Pelodiscus sinensis: one gene and its partner. The protein of the gene in region 2 purifies or fractionates together with the protein of the main gene of each other region. This does not show direct contact. Links are inferred from orthologs where the notes say so. Each region holds a gene or a part of one and is shown on either strand. Other genes may lie near its edges.

The links. The genes of interacting proteins can lie anywhere in the genome.
Region 1: the proteins of STIP1 (region 2) and CCDC117 purify together in Homo sapiens (affinity purification with mass spectrometry; 5 studies listed by BioGRID and IntAct, counting the BioPlex papers as one, with this or other methods). This does not show direct contact. The link is inferred for Pelodiscus sinensis from reciprocal best matches to the Homo sapiens genes STIP1 and CCDC117.

What each region holds. Positions count from the first base shown.
Region 1 is NC_134725.1:41,662,489-41,666,237, forward strand, and holds the start of CCDC117 (coiled-coil domain-containing protein 117), read left to right. Parts: upstream 1-1,362; 5' UTR 1,363-1,375; coding exon 1,376-1,438; exon of another isoform or gene 1,439-1,492; intron 1,493-2,788; coding exon 2,789-3,132; intron 3,133-3,749. UniProt on the Homo sapiens protein: Facilitates DNA repair, cell cycle progression, and cell proliferation through its interaction with CIAO2B.
Region 2 is NC_134721.1:33,441,514-33,445,262, reverse strand, and holds the start of STIP1 (stress-induced-phosphoprotein 1), read left to right. Parts: upstream 1-990; 5' UTR 991-1,137; coding exon 1,138-1,146; intron 1,147-3,749. UniProt on the Homo sapiens protein: Acts as a co-chaperone for HSP90AA1. Mediates the association of the molecular chaperones HSPA8/HSC70 and HSP90.

The DNA of each region.
Region 1 (3,749 bases), on a different chromosome or scaffold from region 2:
AGCTCCCCAGCCATGATCAGCAGACAGACTCTCCAGAATCTACATGCTTTGGATCTTTCTGAAACCCATATGCCTGAGGGCAGGAATGAATGTGTGTGAATGAATGGAGGTATGTATGTGCCTTTTTGTGTGTGTGAGAGAGAGATAGCTGGTTCCCTCCTCAGTTTAAACCTTTGGTGGCAGCTCTATCTTTATTTTATCAATAAACCAATGCTAGTGTAACCCTGGGTAGTCTCCAGTGGGAATTTTCTGATAACAGTTATTACAGTAATAAATCTAAGAAACTAAATTAAAAAAAAAACAACAATCCACCTCTCCCTGTCATAGCTCAGAAACATTAACAGGAGTTTGACTTTTCAGATAATGACAAACTGCATATTATGACTCCCCCTATTTTTTAACCCAATTTTAAAATAGCTACATCCCTGTAGAGTAGGGTTGCCAGGTGCTTTCCCCTACGTCTTAGTGCTCAACCGCTCCCCTATTCCTATCCCTGCACTCACTCTTAAAGGGGACATACTGTTTTATTTTAATGTTTTTTGGCATACTTGGAGTCCTTTTTTTTCCCTCAACAACTTTGGTCTCCCCCCCCCCCCTTTTATTCCACTTCAACAGAATTTTTTCCCATTTTTGGGGGGGGGGTTGGTATTTTTGTTTCAACCATCTGGTAACCGTACTGTAGAGAGGTAGCTAGACATAGGGGCTGTGTCTACACTGGTGCGATCTCGCACAAAAGCAGCTGCTCGCGCAAAAACTTGCTGCTTGTCTACACCGGCCGTGTGTTCTTATGCAAGTAAACTGACATTCTAATGTATAAAATCTGGGCTTTTTGCGCCAGAACTCTGACACTCTTGCTCAGGAATAAGCCCTTTTGTGCAAGAGCTCTTCCAAAAGAGGCCAGTGTAGACAGGCAACATGAATTTTGTGCACAAGAAAGCCCCCTGGTTAAAAATGGCCATCAGAGCTTTCTTGTGCAAGAGAGCGTCTACACTGGCACGGGTGCGCTTGTGCAAAAGCACATCCCAGTGTAGACTCTCTTCTGGAAGAGTTTGCCTGAGAAAGCGCCAGTGTAGACATAGCCCAGGGAGAACTGGATTTATTGTGGTAGGGTGGGAAATGTCCTCATGCTTTTTTAGAGAGCCTTGTATAAAGGTGGGAAGCACCAATTGCTGTTGTATAGCAGGAATAATGGCACTGATAACACGGGTGGGCTGGGCTCTCTGCTAGGATGATCGTCAGTTCTGGGCTGGTCACTGGGTCACCACGCATGCCCCAGTGCGCGCCCGGAACTACAGCTCCCAGCATGCCCCAGTGCGCGCCCGGAACTACAGCTCCCAGCATGCCCCAGTGCGCGCCCGGAACTACAACTCCCAGAATGCTCCATCTTCAAGCAGGCCCCTCCCACCGGAAATATGGGTCCTGTTTTCCGGCGTCTGCGGTGCGTTCCTCCGGCGCGGAGACAGGCCTGGAAAGGGGCCAGGCTGAGGGTCCTGTGAGCTCTGGCGCTGCTCTAGCGGGAGCTGGGGCGGGGGCTGCTGGCGCTGTGTGGGGCGGGGGCTCGGGCACGGACAGTGTCTGGTCCGAACTAGACGTTTCAGTCGCTCGCGCGTCGCGGTGTTTGACACCCGCAGGCGCCTTAGCGCGGCTCAGTGACACGCACCGAGCGGGGCGGGCGGGGCCGCAGCACCCGCCGGTCGGTTAACCGGTGACGGTTGGGTGGCGCTAACGTTTAACTGATGCCCCAAGTGGGGTCCAGGCGGGGGCTCGCAAGCTGGGCAGGAGGTGGCAGAGGTTGCCCTGGATGGGAGCAGCACCAGTCCTTGGCATCTAGGAGCTGGTGCAGGCCCCACCTGTTGCCAGTGACTGGAACCTCTAAGCCAGTGGTCCCCAGCCTTTTGGGGCTGCTCGGTGCGGGGCTGCTCACACCTCTGCGCCCAGGGCAGGGCCGCCCATGTGCCGTATGCCTGGGGCCAGCACCGCATGCACCACGTGGCAGGCGCACATAAATGCCTTGGCAGGCACCATGGCACCCACGGGCACCACGTTGGGGACCACTGGTCTAAGCATTACCCAGCAGGAAAAATTCACACCTCAAGAGACAGAGTTAAGCAGACCTAGCCTATGTTGTGGACAGCTCTAGGTCAGCGGAAGAACCTTTCCCTTGACATAGCTCTCATTTATCAGGAAGGTGGAATATATACAGTTTGTGTGTGTCGGAGGGGGGGAGAACCCCTACTATTTCTATAGCAGTAGTCTATTTAACATCCTTCTCTACACTGAAAAGTTAAGTCAACCCACTTATGTCTCTTAAAGGCATGAAAAATGTGCCCTTGTGAGTGACACAGTGGAGCTGACCAATCACCCTCTCTCCTGTTCCCTCTGGACAGTGGAATGCCAATAGAAGAGTTCTTCCATCAACCTACCTGTTTTCTCTAGGAGGTGGATTAACTACAGTCATGGGAGAACCATTCCCATATCTGTAGCAAGTGTCTGCACCCAAGTGCTACAGTAGCACAGCTGTGCAATTGTAGTCTTTGAAGTGGAGATGTAGCTTTACTTTGCTCGAGCAATTAGTAAATGGCACCACCAAAAGAACTGGTTTGCCTGTATAGGTACATCCACATTAGGGTTCTTAGTGACATTTTATTAAAACAAAATCACACCCTAACCAACACAATCATGCCAGCATCCCCTTTAAACTATACACCTGGACTTTTCCTTATTGATGCTTATGCAACATGATGCTTATTATTGTCTCACTGTTCTGGGTTGATTTGTTTCCCCCCAGGTACAGATGAAAATGGCAACATTGGGCAGATCCTTTCAAGGAGTTCCTTCTGTGGAATTTCCTCAGACTCCAGCAGCTCTCTCTGAGAGTACCTTCCAACCTGGCATCACACAGAGTGAGTTGCAGCCTGGAACTGTGGGGCATGAATATCCCCAGCAAAGCATGGGGGCTACGGCTGGGAATGGAAATGATATAATAGAAGGCTCTGACCCCACCAACTCATACCTGGACCTTGCTTCCCCAGCTGCAGTTGGAAGTTATGATGACACCTTGACTATTGCAACAGTTCCTTTCACAGACTTTGAAATCCCACCAATACTATTGCAGCCGCAGATTCGCACCCAGTAAGTACAAAAACAAACAGGAGAAAGGTGGGGGACAGCACCTCCTAACTATAGTAGATTTGTCTGACCAGCTAACTTTTCAGATCTGTAATTTGTATCAGTATTCTACCGGGATTGATAATTTTCAAAGAATCACAGAAGATTAGGATTGAAAGAGACCTCAGGAGGTCATCAAGTCAATCCCCTGGTGAAAGTAGGACCAACCACAACTAAATCATCCCAGTCAGGTCTTTGTCAAACCTCACCTTAAAAACCTGTAAGGAGGGAGATTCCACCACCTCCCTAGGTACTCCATTCCAGTACTTCACCACCCTCCTAGTTAAATAGTTTTTCATAAACTAAAACGTAGAATCCAACCTAGGCCTCCCTCAGTGTAACTTGAGACCATTGTTCCTCATTCTGTCATCTGTCACTACTGAGAACAGCCTCTCTCCATCCTCTTTGGAACCCCCCTTCAGGAAGTTGAAGGCTGCTATCAAATTCCCACCCTCCATTCATCTGCAGACTAAATTAACTCAGTTCCCTCAGCCTATCCTCATAGGTCATGTGCCCCAGGCCCTAATAATTTTTATTGCCTTCTGTTGGATTCTCTCCAATTTGTCCATATCCTTTTTTAG
Region 2 (3,749 bases):
CCCAAAAATTGCATTGCCTGCCCAGCTACGATTAAGTTGTTTAAACAAATGTGTTGCAATAATAGAAAAAAAATTGTGAGTCTGAAAACTGTAGGTACTGGGGGGGGGGGGGTACATATAATTTTTCTTAAGGAGTACCATATTAAAAAAGGTTGAGAAACACTGTTGCAGCATGCACGTGCTCCCCAGTAAGTACAGGCACACAAAAGATGAGGCAGGTACAGGGTGCAAAAAAAAACAAGAGAAAAATACACATGGATTGGGCGAAGGAGTAGGACCACAACCACAGAGCCTGCTCCCCTCCCTGGGGCGTGCAAGCTACATGCAAACAACCTTCTCCAGCAGAGTGTGTACAACGCACGCGTGAAAACCCAACCGTATTAGGGGCCACGGAAAGCACATGCAAATGTGTTTCTCTTACACGCATGCGCAGACACCGCCTCTCGGGAACTCCAGCTCAGCCCCCACCAAGCAGAACGTCCCTCCTTTAAACTCTTGGAGTCGCCCAATAAGGAAGCGATGATGACGTAGACCCGCTCCGCTCAATCAGGACATAGCGCCTCGCATGTCGTCACCTTGTTCCTCAGAACCAATGAAACGAATGGAAAATTCCAGAAATGTCTCTAACCAATGGACACGGCCGTTAGAATCACGAGGGGTCTCCAGGCCAATGGATTTTGAAGATTGCTGAGAGTATTAGAGATGCTAGCCAATCACATGGGCAGGGCGGGGGGCGTGGTCCTAGGTTGAGATCCAATCACAGTGAGGGCGGGTAGAAGGAAGGCTCTTCGCGGGGCGTATTGATTGGCATACCTCCAGACTTATGAGACGCGGGGTAGGCGGGGCTAGTTGCGAATTGACATCTATGTTCTCGTATCCCTATGCGAATCTCAATAATCCCGCCCTGTTGGCGCTACCGAGGCGGAGAATAGGTAAGGCCCGGCCTGTGAGCGACACCCTTTCTAATCTATGGTGGCACTGAGGGGGCGGGACCCGGACGCGTACCAACCAATGGGGCGGCGAGGGCGATACAGGAGGCTTCTAGCAGGTTCCAGAAGGCGGCGTGAGACGGGGTAGGCCGGCTCGGAGGAGACTTAACCGGCAGCGTCCCGCAAAACTGGGCCCCGAGCCGGAGCCATGGAGAAGGTGAAGGGCCGGGCCTGCCAAGGAGCGAGCTGGGCTGTGTGCTGGCGGGCGGGGTAGCTGCAGCCTGGGGCAGGAGGTGACAGCTACGAGGGACGGCGCCTGGGGAGGGAGTTGGGGGGCAGGAGCGCGGGGTGGGGTGAAGCCAGGCAGGGGAGGGCCCGGGGTAGGCGACTTTGCCTCGAAGAGGTGCAAAGGTCTGGAGGGAGCGTGCTGCCAGATGCGTTTTAGCCCCCTCGTGTAGACGGGGCGAAGCTGTGTGTTAACCCGCGCTGGTTGGGCAGGGACACCCCCCCTTTCCGCCTATCGCTTCTCTTTACCTTGATTGCATGAGAGTGCCCGAATGAGCGACGTGAACGTGCCTACTGAAGTGACCACTCGGGAGAGGGCGGCTGGGCTCTGAGGCTACTGCAGAGCCGTCTGGGGCAGTGGAGCAGGTGTGAGACGAGGTAGCCGAGAGTCCTAGAAGTTGGTGGTAGCAGGGTTTCTGGGAAGCAGGCATGCGGGAGGAAATAGAGTGGTTTGGGCAGGAGGTTTCCTCGGAGCTAAAAAGGGGAGCACGAAGAGATGGACTGGCTAGTAAAGTAGGTAGCACAGGGAATCTGCATTGAATGTGAACAAAATGTATAAGATTGATTGTGTGTGTGTGTGAGAGAGAGGTTCAGTGTGCTGTCTGGAGATATGTAGCTGGGATGTAAGTACCATCTTCTCATTTTCTGCCTCACTTTTGCATGTGCATGCAGAAGTCTCCCTTGCCTCATCCCCCTGCAATAGAAGGCATGCCCAGGAAGGAGTAACTGTTCATGCTGAGTAGCTGTTGAGGTCTCCAAGCAACTATGAACTATGTATTGCATTCTAATGCTGGAGATGGCGGCTGTAGACAGACAGCTGACCTGCTGCTTAAACAAAGCCTATTAAGGTGCAGTAAGGAGACCCTGGAGTATTCTCAATCGAGGAAGCATTTGGAGCAGATGTACAGGTGGCATAATACAAAAAATTGTCACCAGAATCTCCCTTCTGCTTGTCCCATTTGAAGAGGGCCTGTCGCTTTGGTATGGGTAAAGGCTGCTCAGCTGACTTTGCTTCTTGAAGCATAGCAGATCACTGACTTGAGGAAGCTGCTTTATCTTGGAGTAAAGCAGTTTTGTTAACTTCACGTCTTAGTTTAAAATGTACGTTGCTATGGAACTAATGTAATTGAGGTGCTTATCCTTGCTAGAGCCTAGGTATACTATGGGTGACGGCAATGTGAGTCTCCTACACAAGCACAGCATTGCCAGTGCCCTAAAGTCCTGACCTACAAGATCCCAACTAGGGATGTTAAAATGGGTGTAATAAAGTAACTGTGTAAAATTTTCAGCAGTTACACGCTGAGTGGCAGCCAGCTCCTCAGGAGCTACTGTGTGCAGAGTCAGCTCTCCATATGTACTGGCTCCTGCCTGCACCCCACGCTGCTGCCTCTGTATCAGAATACCTGTTCATCATTGCACACAGGCAAACAAAGTTTGCACATTACACTTTCATATCCTGTGTTTGTCAATGCTCCTCAGTCCTGACATGCAGCTTCCTACTGTCCAAGTACTAAATTCCACCCCTCACAGCTTTGCTGTTGCCTGTCAATCCCAACTTCCTCCCCGCTTCACAAAAGGAATTCCTCCTGCCTCCACCCCTGCAGGCATAACTCCTGATTTATCTCTGCAAGTCTTCATTTCTGTCTTGCTTTCTGGCTTGAGCAAAAATGCCCAGGTATTGCAGTATTATATATTCCATACAAATGTTGGCTAGGAACTGGAATGAAGCTCATCAAAATTATCTCTACTTATATGGCTTGTGTCAGAGTGTAAATCCAGTTCTAAAATGGGCGGGGAGAAAAGTTCTTAGTTTGTATCATCATCTCTGAGCTGTTGAGCCCTGGCACTCACTAATTTTCCGGCTAAACAGTAAATGGTCAGGCTTACTGGTTAACAGGCCCTTGCCATCTCTGGAGTTAACTTGCCAGCTGTACCTGGAGAGGCCAGCTAGCAAAGTGGCAGTATCCCAGAACCAATGTGGGACTTAGGTTGAAACAGTTTTAACTGGTTAATCATTTTAACATCCCTGTTGAAAATTAAAATAGAATGTAAAGTGTGGTGGTATTTTTTAAAATTTGATTATTCATGCTTCTGCCCCAAATAGTAAGGCTCTTACGTTGTCAGCTAATTTGGGAGCTTCAGGGGGTAGCTGAGTTAGTCTGTTACAGGGGAAAAAAAAACCAGTAAGCAAATGGTCTGGTAGCACTTTATAGGGTGATCCTTCAAAAGTTTTTAGAGGTAGTAATTATTTTGCTATTCATGGCATATAATTTAAAGATCTATTATTGCTCAGGCCCCATCAGTACTGAAAAAGGAGTTGCATTGTAATAGTTTTAGGGAGCCATCTTAACACTCCCTGTAGAAGGGAGACTTTTGATGTAACTGGGACAAGCTTCTGTTTGTACTGGCAGAGTTCAGGTTATAAAGTACTTGGAGAGTGGAAGTAATAGGCTGAGAAAAATGCAAATTTTGTATGCAGACTTCCTAGGGAGCTCATTAGAGTTCCTACCTGATGTGCTGTTGAAGTGACTCATC